Drosophila melanogaster: one gene and its partner. The protein of the gene in region 1 interacts with the protein of each later gene in a pairwise test. Each region holds a gene or a part of one and is shown on either strand. Other genes may lie near its edges.

Region 1 (4,235 bases):
ATGGAGCAGCCAACGGGGCGGATGAGTGTTGCTGCCAACGGGGCGAATGAGTGCTCTTGCCACTGTACCCGGTCGGGCCTTTGGCTGTTTTGCGGTCTATCTACCTCTTGGTTAGGAACATTTCCCACACCCATTCCCCATTTACCCAACCCTTCCCGTTACCGCTAGGGGTTTCACCACCCACCCTGCGCGTGTCGAAGCATCTCAGTTGGAAAATGGGTGACAATTCATGACAGGGCATGAGCAGTGCGCGTAATTTGCATATACGGTGGTGTTCGTTCATTCGTTTCGATGGTCGAAACTAACCAGGCGTTTGGGTTGTCCAGCTGTCCCGCTCTTTTTTTCCCCCTTTCACCATGAGCCACAAAATTCCCTGCCGTATTGGCCCGGCAGTTTTGGCATTGACTTGGCTGCACTTAGCCCCATCGCATTACACAATGTCCCCTCATTCCGGCTGCACATTGTGATAAAAATCCCCCTTCAATGCATTTTCCACACCGAAAAAAGGTGGAATATAGGGCAGCTAAAATAGAAACCTCTCTCACACATTTTAAATGCAAATGACACACCATGGCGGGCAGATAGTGGAAGAGATGGGGCAAGTTCGAGGTGTCTTTGTGGCTTGCCAGCCGGCAGATTAAAAGCGAAATTAGTTTTCCTCTAATAGGCTAATGCAGCTTGGTCGAAAGCAGTTAGTGACAGGATGAATATTTCATATTAACAGAATTTTAGCAGCTATTTCAGTTGTCGACACATGGTAAATGTACATACTTTCATGTAGAGTCCAAAAAAAATAATTCTAAAATTTTATTTTCTACAATTAGTACCAAAAATTAGTATCCACTTAAAATTTTGGCTATTCAAAATGGTTTCAGTTCTTATTTCGCCTGTTCTTCTTGCGCATGTGTTTCTTCCACTTTCTCCAGTATTTCTGGATCTTGATGGCTGCGCGGTTCATGGCGAATAACAGGACACGATGCTGGCGGTGCCTGGCCTCCTCTTCCTCTCGCTTTACGACGATCTGCTTGTAGACCCGCTCAACCTTCAGGAACCCAATCATGTATTCGTCGAGGGCCTTCTTAGCCTTTTTGTGTTCTTCGGCGAGCTCCATGTTCTCGATCATCTTTTCGCCAATGCTGTGATCGTATTTCTTGATAATGGCTTGTAGTTGTAAAATCAGCTTGTTTCTAAGGATTTTGGCCAATTGTTGATGTTATCTAAATATTGTCGGTCTAAAAATCCAGTTTCACTTACTTTTCCTCTCGAAACACCTTTTCCTGTTTTAAATAGTTTTTTGTGGTTAAGTTATAGTTGTTTCGCGTTTTTTGCAGCTGTTCTTCCAAATCAGCTTGTCGCTCTAAACTTAATTTTTTATTGGCCTTTACCAGACGAGTGCACCGATCGCTGAGAGTACAAACTGATAAGTTAAAGGAACATTTATTTTTTCTACGAGCATCACTCACATTTCCTTTTGGATTCGCTCGTTCTTCTCCCTCTTCTTCTTCATGAGGAGGTCCTCGTAGTTTTGCAGGTAGGCCTCCTTATCAGCCAAGCTCTTCCTGATGGCCGCCTTCTGATCCAGGATCTTCTTGCGCAGCTCTTCCACCTGCTCCTTGACCACCTCGTTCTGCTTGTACATGGCATGCAGCTGGCGCTCCTGGGCGATGGCGTCGGTGGACGTCCTGTACAAGCGGTCCTTGGCCAGATCATAGAGCATCTCGAAGGCGTTCAGCAGCTTCTTCTCGTTGTCGCTCATGTGGTTGTAGTAGCTGGGAAACAGAAGGTAGATCCTGCTGTTCCGCTGGAAGAAATCGATGATCTGGATAATGCCGTGATCCATCAGGGGCGGACGTTTCTCCCGCAGAATGAACTCCCTTCGACGAACAAACGATTCCACCAGGTGAACTGCCTTTTCGTACTTGGTTCCATTAAGAATCTTAGCCATGTGCGCGGGGTGTTCCAGCAGTTTCGGCATGATTAGCGAGATCTTAACCCGTTCGATGGCCTCGGCCAGGACATTTAAAACACATCCGATTTGCACTATTCTCACGGTTGCAAATTCTAGGCGCAGAAGGTGTAATTATGTGATTAAACATTGACACAAGTGTTTTGTGTCCCAAATTTAAAGATACAATGTTTTCTTATAAACGCACATAAAAGGTATTTGTCTGAACGCACTTCTTTTATATTGTAATTAAGCAGACTTTTTAAATGGTTGTAATAAACACAGAAGAATAGCTATTTTGCTATTTTAATTTAGAACAATAGATTTAGTTAAGTCTGCTTAAGATTTCTAAACACCTCACCATGCTGGGCCAGTTTGATGTCATTCTTCTTTTCCGCTGGCATCGATTTGCCCCGCATCATCTCCGTCAAACTCATCTTGCTGTTCGTGGTTTTTAAATAGTCTTTTGTGAATAATTCATTTATTTTTTTTTCTGATTAAGGTGCTGCGAAAGCAGCCTTTACTGTAAAGAGCTTGTTTTTATTTGTTTCTCGCTTTATTTTATTATTTTTTTTTTTGACAGCAGTGGTTTTGTGTGTCGGTGTAAATTTGTTCCTGCTCTGAGCTGAAACTCGAACTGCACTGTGATGGAAGTTAGCCCTGTTGCCTTGATCCCCTGAACGATGTGCCCAATTTATGTACACAAATTCGTATATTTACAAAAGCGGATCCTCGACACATCTATCTGCCACTGGGTTCGCTCCGCTGAGCTGCAAACTTCCTCAAGTGGAAGCTCTTGTTTGGACCCGAATCAAGTTGACATTACATGGCGTGTTTCAGTCGCGGACTGCGGACAAAGTTTCTAAACAAATGCCCCGGAATTTGTGACTACAAATGCAGCGCTTCCTGCTCGATGTTGGATGCACATTTTTTGCAGCTCTTTGTGCGCTCCTCTGTTCCGCTGTGTTGCCAAAAATTTATGGCTAACAATATTTTTGGCTGGTAAAGACGCATTCAGCTCACAGCACATGGCAAACAACTTGCTGCGAGTCACAGGCGAGGCACCTAAATAAACCGATTCGTGGGGGAGGGGCTGGCTGTTTTCCGGGGACGTGTTCTAGGCGGAGTTATTGAGGGAGTTTTTAGGGGCGTGGCACTGTTTCGGGGCGTAATTTGTATGCACTACTCGACCATCCTGCATCTCCGCCTCTGAATATGAATCCGAAACCGAATCGGACAGTATGCGCCAGTGAATTCGGTTTCATCCTGAGTTGTTTGTGCTTTGAATACCCTTTTAGGGGAAATAGTGCATCATGAAGTGCCCACAGTGTCGAAATTCCCACAACTAAAATCTTCAACGTTCGAATAATCATAAAATTTCTGGATTTTGTCTGTAATTTTTGGTCACAAATAGCAGTTACATTTGAGCAAGAAAGTGTATAATCTCTTCGTTGATTGAAAAATCTTGGCAGTTATCATTTTTTCTATCGCATTTTCCATAGCTGCTGTTGTTGCTCTGCGCTTATTGCATTTGTCTCGATTCGTTTGGCTCGCACAAAAACAAATTGCCGGAAGTATGCAAATGTTTGATGCAGCTTATCAGATATTGTTTGAGAGCCTTCCCCCGTTTTGTTTTGTTTTTTTTTTTGGAGTGGGTAGAGGGGCGTGGGCGTTTCGGGGCGTGGCATTTGGCACGGCGCTCATTTGCCTTGCAAAAGGCGCGCCACCAGTGAGCAACCAGCAAACAAGAGCCAAGCGACAGCAAATAACTTTCAGAGACACTTGCATCCCGAACACAAATAAAAAACCAGAAAAGTATCGGGAATTGAACTGTCAGCTGCAGCAGTACGTTGGGGAAATCGAAATTGAATTACATTTGCACTTTATGCTAAAGATCCATCAGATGACAGCAACGGCACATGGAGCGAGATAAAAACTAATTAAAAATGTTGCGAAACAATTTGGGGAGGAGATGGATGCCAGATTCCTGGAAAAACTTTAATTTAGTTTACGAATGTTCAGAAATATAGGCAAGTCTCTATCCAAGTCAATAATCTTTGGAATTCTTAAAAACTAATTAAAAGTGCTATAGAAACAAAGTTTGATATGTGTCGATCAGAAAAGAACAGAAAGCTAGAAAGTTATAGGGTTTACTTGAAAATCAAACACAATATTCCTCAGGCTGGATAAACATTTTTTAGTCGTAGGCATTTTAAAATCTATATACCACTTAAGTTTCATTTATAAAAAAAATCGGCAAATTAAATACGTATGCTTTGAAATATGTATA
Region 2 (8,105 bases), on another chromosome or scaffold:
TAGCATAATCGAACAATTAAAAGAACGGCGATTAGTTTTAAATAGGCGCACTGAAGCCGGTTGCGCAGGTAAAAAAGAAAGAGAACGGAAGTAACAACAAAATTTAACCTACTGCAAATTGTAAATAATCTAAATTTAGTCCAGTGTCTCGAAGAAGTCCTGCGGATCGACGAACATCGATGGGCTGCTGTTTCCGCTCAAGATTTCCGCTTCCTCCTCCTCCTGGCGAGCCGCCTCCGCTTCCGCTTCTTCCGCCTCCTCCTCCGCTGCCGCTGCTGCAGCCGCTGCCGCCGATGAAGATGAGCTGACCCCGCTCCTGCGACGACCCCGACGCACTGGTCCCGTGCCCGTGCCCCCGCCCACCGATGCCACAGCTGCCGACCGGAGCGTACTGCCCGTCATCACGGGATCGTAGGTCCGCGACGACGGGGCATCGGTATTGCTGGACAGGGAGGATTTGCGGCGACGTTTGTTACGCCGCCTTCGGCGTCGTTTGCTGGTCTGAACTGCCACGGCAGCCGTTGATGTGGAGGGCCCAGATCCGGTTCCGGCGCTGCCCAACGGTTCCGTAAGCACACTGGTTCGCGGCAGGGTCAGCGTGGTCTCGAACATCTTCAGCAGCGTCGGGGAACTGGGTCAATTTTGCGGGAACACATCGTCGATGGTAATGAAAGCGTCCTCGCCCAGCGAGTGCTGTCCGATCACCTTGATCAGCTCCGAGGCGTGAGCCACCAGGTATTCCAGCGGCGGACGACGCTCGAAGTTCAGGGACTCTGCATAATCATAGTAATTAGTAACTTCGTTTCGAGACAAGTGTTTAAAGACTTACCCAATATGGCCGAGTTGAGTGTGGTGGAAACACTCTCACGTCGCGAGGGACACAGCAACCAGCCCAGCGGACTGGACCAAGGATTAGAGTAGGCAATCAGACTAAATGCATCCTGTAACAACCATAAATTGAATATCTCTCGATTACGGATAATCATATTCTTATTGAAGTTATTTTTCAAATACAAAGAGTGCTTAGTCTGCAAGATACCAGTTTCTATTGTTTATACATTTTTATAGTTTACCTCCAACATTTGACGCTCCTCTTCAGTCATTAGGTTCTCCTTCTCCAGCTGCTGGCCCATGCTGGACAGTTCCTTGCCGAACTCAAGGATCTTCTCGATCACACGACCACAGTTACGCGATGAGGGGGAAACATCTACATCTGCAAGTGCTAGGGATTACGGATCTTCCCGGAAATGCCGCCAATAGATACATACCCATTTCCTCGTCGATGGCATCTAGAGAGTTGCGCACTGCGCTGGCATTGCCATTGGAGCTCGAGTCGCCGCCGTTGGAGTGACTCTGGCAGGGCTCCATTTCTACGTCCATGCTGTTGCTGTCGTGCTCCACGCACTTGTTGGAGTTGTCGTCAACCAACATGCTTGAACAGTACGTTGTGATTAAAGATCGGAGTAAGTATTACATTTGACTTACTTTTTTATATCTGGCCTATCGCCGCCTTGTGGCTTTATCACAGCTGGAATCGCAGTGTTGTTCTGTTGTTGAGTCTGATTTATGTTGACGTTGCCATTTCCACTGCCGCTCTTGCTGTGCTTGAACGTCTTGGTGGACTGTATCACTGACGTCTGGTTTGTGGGCATGGTCTGTGTGGTGGCGGTGACTTTGTTGTTCACGTTCTGTAAGACAAACCATCCGGTTCTACTTATCTTCCGCATGTAATGTTTAAAAACCCACCTCAATGTCAGCTCCATTGATCATCTCAATGAACTGGCGGCACTTCAATGCGAACCAGAGGTTTTTATTATTTTCCAGGAGTCCGGGGAAAGAACGTAGTGTATGTTCGATGGCCTGGCTCATTTTGCCAGTCAGTATAAGCTTAATGATCTCTGGAAGAGTGGATTTAAAGTTGGCATGTGTGTTGTCATTTCAAATGGCAAATATACGAACTTTGACGTGTCTTGATCGATGCCAAGTCCTCGTTGAAAGTCTGATTTGTGTAGCCATTGAAGGCCTCGGCGGTTTTGCTGAACGCATTATGCACCAAATAAGTGGAAACCAGGCTAAGCAATTTAGAAGTCATTGGGTTAAGCCATGATTTTTAAACACATTTAACAAAAACGCACCGATTCATCAGGTTTTCTGGGGTCTCCAGCAGATGTGGATATCGATCGATCTTGCGGAGCACATTGGAGCGCATCTCCTTCATCATATCGACGATCTTGTCGAACTTGAATGGTTCCTGACCAAAGTTGGCATCCACTTCCTCGCCAGGCGTCTGTAGGCCCACAGTGGGATAAAGCTTAGTCTAAACAAAAAAAAAAAAGATTAACAAACATAAAGTTAGAAGATAAAGTAGTTTTAAAATTCCATTGAATACGCACCGGCAAATCCCTAAATGCGATGCCCAGATCCACTCCGTTCTTGGTGTAGAAGCACGTGTTGTTCACAAAGTTGACGCAGCATCCAATCACATCGCCGGTGGTAAAAGTGGGGCCGTAGGTTTGGCCATTTCCCGAGGAGCTAAACGAGTTGCCATCGTCGCCGTGGTACCCGTACGACTGTTTGTCCCAACCTACTTGAGGGGGGGTGCGGTTATTAGGAATCATGGGCACATCTCGCCGAGCAGCACAATGGAACACAAACCTGGCAGGCGGTTCATACGGAACTGCTGGGCAGTTAGGCCAATGCCCATGTAGCCGTTGCGTCCCTTGGAGATTATCCGCACCTCGAAGTAGTACAGTCCGCAGGAGGACGGGATCGGATAGGCAGTGCGCACTGAGGCGGCATCACTGTGCTGCTTGCCCACACCTAAAAAGTCATGAGGTTTCAGTATTTGACAGATCTCAATTTTTATATGCTATAGCATTGCAGTAAGACAATATTCTTTTATCCATTCGGTATGAACTTCCTACTCTCGAACTTAGTACATGGGATATGTTCTTAACATAAATGAATGAGTTGGTTATCTGGACAATAAAAATAATAAAATTGATACTCTAAATAAAAAAACTGATTTTTGGCCTAAGTCTACGTCGAAACAATAATGAGACATTTTATCAATTTAAATGAAATATTTCGAATTATTGAGTTATATATTTTACCTGAAATTAAAGTAACCTAAATATACATTTTACATCTATGCAACGCACCATCTACGTAATAACTTATACATTTTACGCGCATTTTACATGTTATGTCGCACTGGTAAGCCAGCTGTTGCTGTTAGCGGTTTAACAGCCACGCGAATGAGCGTGGGAGAAGTGGGTTATGAAAAACAAAAACCACCAGTGCACAGCTGAGAGCACCTGTCTGTGCCCTGTGCGTGTGTGTGCCAGAGCGAGATAGAGCGAAAGAGAGTGAAAACTGCAGCTGCACTACGACTCTTCTTCTTTCTACTGCATTGAGTTACATCCTTCAAGACAAATATTAGATTTTGTGGATGGGATTTCGAATAAATAATAATTTCGATAATGCAATTAATAACTATGCAAGTAATAATTTAGTAGGGGCTAGCCTTATATTCGGGTGTTTTGATTTAAGGGCTAAAATATTGTATACTGTCTCTTTAGCTTTAGATCAATACAAATTTGAAAATGTAAGAACAAAGTCAAATCGTTGTAATAAAGATAAACTCCATGAACTCTGGCACTTATACCACCTGGATACTCATACTTGGCTACAGCGTAGACAAACTTATTACAATTTATTCCATATCTATGTAACTATATCTATGTAAGTGCATATTTAATTATTACATTTCATTGCGAAATTGAAATGTGCGTATTAGTGGCAATATGAAACCGATTTAGAATTGAACTATGACAGCTCCTAAGAAATCTGTATCTTATAGTTGCCTGATCGTTGCCTACTTTCTATTTTAGATGGTATGAAATGGAGAGTTGATTTATAGAGAAGTTCGAATCCTACTCACCCTTGTAGGTGACCCTCAAGTTGTTCTGCGACAAACCGATGGACAAGCACTTGTCATGGGGACTCCAGCACCTGGGCAGCGGAGTCTCGCTCTCGTTGACATTGGGATAGAGCAGCCTTAGGGGATCCACGCCCTGGTGCTGTGGCGAATTGGAGCTGGCGGCGGGGGTCGAGTGATGGCGGCGACCACCGACCCGCGGCGATGATGTCTGGGTGCTGCTGCGGGGATTGTGGCTGGGGAACATGTCGTTGCTGAAGTGACTGCCGTTGTTGCTGTAGAAGTGACGAGTGCGTCGCGAGAGGCTGTTACTGTTGCTGTTGTTATTATTGTTGTTGTGATTGCTGATATTGTTGTTGTTATTGTTGCTGCTCCTTGGGGCTCGTGAGGCTGAGGAGTAGCGCGGCAAAACGGCCACCGAGTGCAGGCGCTGGGCACCGGAAACGGAAGCGACTTCGCCGGCTCTGTCGACCCGGTCCTCTACCACCTCCTCCTCTTCATCCACCTCCTCGTCGTCGTCTTCGTAGTCGTCGATGCGCTCCACGGCGTTGGCGTCTATGGTCTCGGCTATAGCGTTTGCGTCTATAATCAGTGGCGGCTGCTGTTCGTTAAGATCCTGCGATCCGGAGTCCTGCTCGTCCAGATCTTCGAGAAGCAGCGGTGGCGGTGGCTCGGCTTCTGGTTCGATTTCGGGATCTCGAACTTGCGGCTCATCCGGTTCTTGGTTGGTATCTTCTCGTCCTAATGTCTCCCGGTTTTCCAGCGATGCTTGTGGTGGATGCTCTTCCGGATTCTGTGATTCTCGGTGCCGAATAAGCCCCTCTATGTGATGCAGCTCCTGGTTTTGCTCCGCTTGTTGATCTTGGTGCACTGCGGGATATTCTTGATTCTGTTGATCCAGCAATGGGTGCAGCTCCTGGTCCTGCGCGGGCGAATTCTCCTGCTGATCCTGCTGCAATGGTGGCGCCTCTTGCTGCTGCTGCTGCTCCCGCTCGTCCCGCTGCGGTGCCGTCGATGAAGTCGTGGGTGGCGGTGCAGTCTGGTGGAAAGTAGGAGTGGGTGAGTGATCATGTGGTGAATTCTCGCGAGCTTCCGTTTCAGATGCATTCAATGGGGGACTAGGGTGATCGGGATGGGGTTGGTCGTGAGAGGACGCGGGGACGGGCGGCGAGGGTGTGGGCGAATGAGAGTGTGACCGAGACGTAGAGGGGGCTATTTCGGCACCCATGGCTCCCGATTGAGAGAGCTGGTGAGAGCTGCTGCTGGCGCTGCTGTTGTTGCTATTGCTGTTGCTCTCCGAAGAGAGTGGCGGGGCCTCTTCGACGTTCTCCATGTTATGGTTGAGTTGTCGTTGTTGTTTATCTTGTTGTGGTTGCAAAAGGAGGCTGAGAGAGAGACGTTCAGCGAGGAATTAGAGAGAGTGAGCCAGCAACGAGCGAGCAAGAGAGAGCGGATGAAGTGCATATGCAGATGCTGTGTGTGTATACGTGAGGAGTGACGAAGGGAGGGGTAAGGAGGCTAGCAAACACAAACAACTTCCAAAATGCAATGTCCTTTGTCCGTTACACCGTTCACCTCATTCGCACTCTCTCAATCACTCGTGCACTCTCTTTCGTTAACTGACCCAAAATACAAACAACAACAGCAACAGCAGTTTACAGTTGCGACGCGCAGCTGCAGCACAAAAAAATACAACAGCAACAACTACAGCTACAAAATTGCATGCACGAAAATGCAAAAAATCAATAGCCAAACGATATTAGCCAATGCTTTCTGCACTTTTTAACATTGCTAGCAAGTCAGTTTTGATTATTCTACATTTGTAAATGCCTTTTTACGTCGTACTTTTCTGAAGTTTTCTTTGTTTTCCCTTCTAACCAACGAGTCACTGTCCACACACACACAAACAAGCACCAGCTCACACACTGGCAGCACTCTCTCCCTCTCGCACACACGCATATATGCATGCAGCAAGCACACACACTCGCAGCTCCCACACGCAGAGAAGAAAATTATCATTTTTTTTTAGCTGGGGCAAATGATCTTTGTTGGGGTTTTATTTAGCTGATGAATTCGATTTGGCTGTCATTCTATGCTGTTGATCGGATCTACAGTTGATATTTCCTTATATTTACCTTCAAACGATTGCTATGAGTTGTTAAATCTACGAAGTTTTGACTTTATGCTATAGAGCTGGAACAAAAGCCGATGTTCATTCGATGATATCGATATCTATTCCGACACCTGACAACATCAGAGTGCGCTCGGCAGCTATCGATTATTCTTATCGAATAAATCTCTTTAGGCGCCTAAATTCAAAATTTGATAAGCAGTAACACACTTCCCAAAGTGCCATTAAAATCTTAAAATGTTTTTAGGTAAAACCCTTGACAATACTTTTGGAGGGTATTATTGCACTATTGCTAGCAATCTTATTTTTTGGGTAAAATTAAACCTTACGTAATTCGTTATGTTTTTTAATGCTAATTTAATCTTTTAAATATTGGTTTAAATTATAAAAAAAGATCATATTATCTATTTTTAGCGCATACTTTACGCCATACCGATAAGAATATTAAGGGCAATTATTACTTAGAAACTTCTGCCTATGGTATAAAAGTATGACGAATGTCAAACATACGCGTTTTACATTGAAACCAGATTTAAAAATGCATCAGCGCAAAAAACTTTAGTGATTTCTAGTACTCTGCCCAGAATGTAATTAAGAGATCGCTGCACTGGTAAAAAAAACCGCCATAAATTCAAAAGATTCGATTCGATTGACAGACTATCGATGCTGCAGAATTTACCGGTTCGCTCTACGGCTTCTCTCAAATGCTTTGACACTTTCTATCTCACTCTTCTAATCGTTCTTGTTCGTTTCGCCTCAACCTTCACTCTGTATTTTAGTTACTTCCTTTCCGAATAGAAATCCTATCACGTAACTGATAATAAACAGTGGAAAATTACCACACGTCTGGTGTAGAGACGAATGTTGCTGGATTCTTGATTAGACTTTATACACTAGCACAAAAACTGTACTTGTAACTTATGAAACACGATCGAGCTACTGGGAGGGAACTCTTCTAATTAAACTTATCAATTGTTGCATTTTTGGTATCCATTATGACTAGATATTGAATTTTAACCATATGATTCCTATTTGGGCTGCTTTCATGCGTACTGTCTTTTGCCTTCTGAATGAGCGATCTGCCCATCCGACTTCCCAAATCCATTCCATCTTTATGTGTGACTTACTGAGAGAAAACCTATGCTGGTGTGCTAATTTTCGATAGACCCACGCACACAGTCTCACGATTTCACTCGCTCTTCACTTTCAATTAGAGGCTCGTTTTCTGTACGTGAACGGGAGAGCCGTGCGATCTATGGAAGTGTGCGATTTTTGCAGGCACTCACAAATACCATCACGTTGCTCGCCGCTCTCTCGCTCTCAATATCCGCCTATCGGCGTGGCTGTATGTTTGCAGGTGTTGGTGCTTCGCCTCTGTTTACCAACACCATTTAACATTTAAATGCGCTCTCGCTCTCTGTTTATGTTTGGAGCCGGCAAAACCGTCAACTGCATCAAATCAGCTGTTTTGATACTAGATCCTGAAGGAATTGGTTCTGGACTGATTGATTTATTCGAACAAGTTTAAATTAAAAGAAATATGCGAAACTGTACTTCATTTTGCGTTACATCTAAAATGTGTTCGTCACAGAGTCCATTTTTGTGTGACGCCCCAAACAGGTTTTTTTAAGGCCCCTCTTGAGGTTCACACAAATATGGAGACCCCGTACGAGGCCTCATCTTTCCCCTCACAATGTCCCCAATTATCACTGAGTTGTTTGTTAGTCTACCCGCAGCACCACGTACTATACATACAAACATACATATGTACATATATGATACGATAAGCCAGCTCCCGTTCTCTGTCTCTATCGGTCCCCTTTCATCAAATTGATCCAGTCGGGTATAAAAGACAGCGAGCTCTCCCAGTCAGTATTCAGTAAGCAACAAGTGTGCGAGCTAATAACAGCTACCAGCTGAGCAACTAACAAGTTTTTTTCCAAGTGAAACTAAAAATCAAACAGCAAGATGCGTTTGGGACAGACCGTACCTAACTTCGAGGCCGACACAACCAAGGGGCCCATTAAATTCCAC

The links.
Region 2: the proteins of CG1137 (region 1) and RanBPM interact in a two-hybrid assay, tested with the Drosophila melanogaster proteins (one large-scale study listed by BioGRID).

What each region holds. Positions count from the first base shown.
Region 1 is NT_033777.3:6,557,844-6,562,078, forward strand, and holds CG1137 (uncharacterized protein), read right to left. Parts: upstream 2,509-4,235; 5' UTR 2,383-2,508; coding exon 2,307-2,382; intron 2,062-2,306; coding exon 1,464-2,061; intron 1,405-1,463; coding exon 1,255-1,404; intron 1,188-1,254; coding exon 872-1,187; 3' UTR 775-871; downstream 1-774.
Region 2 is NT_033778.4:10,427,754-10,435,858, reverse strand, and holds the start of RanBPM (Ran-binding protein M), read right to left. Parts: upstream 6,148-8,105; 5' UTR 6,076-6,147; intron 5,855-6,075; exon of another isoform or gene 5,786-5,854; intron 5,326-5,785; 5' UTR 5,274-5,325; coding exon 3,944-5,273; intron 2,821-3,943; coding exon 2,656-2,820; intron 2,588-2,655; coding exon of another isoform or gene 2,585-2,587; coding exon 2,394-2,584; intron 2,318-2,393; coding exon 2,136-2,317; intron 2,073-2,135; coding exon 1,960-2,072; intron 1,899-1,959; coding exon 1,747-1,898; intron 1,689-1,746; coding exon 1,486-1,688; intron 1,433-1,485; coding exon 1,269-1,432; intron 1,223-1,268; coding exon of another isoform or gene 1,214-1,222; coding exon 1,074-1,213; intron 942-1,073; coding exon 830-941; intron 774-829; coding exon 637-773; coding exon of another isoform or gene 136-636; 3' UTR 1-135. Other genes in the region: CG12896 (uncharacterized protein), read left to right, coding at 8,040-8,105. UniProt on the Drosophila melanogaster protein: May be involved in JAK/STAT signaling. Isoform D is required for the proper arrangement of niche cells and is autonomously required for proper niche cell size, isoform C negatively regulates the adhesive properties of the niche.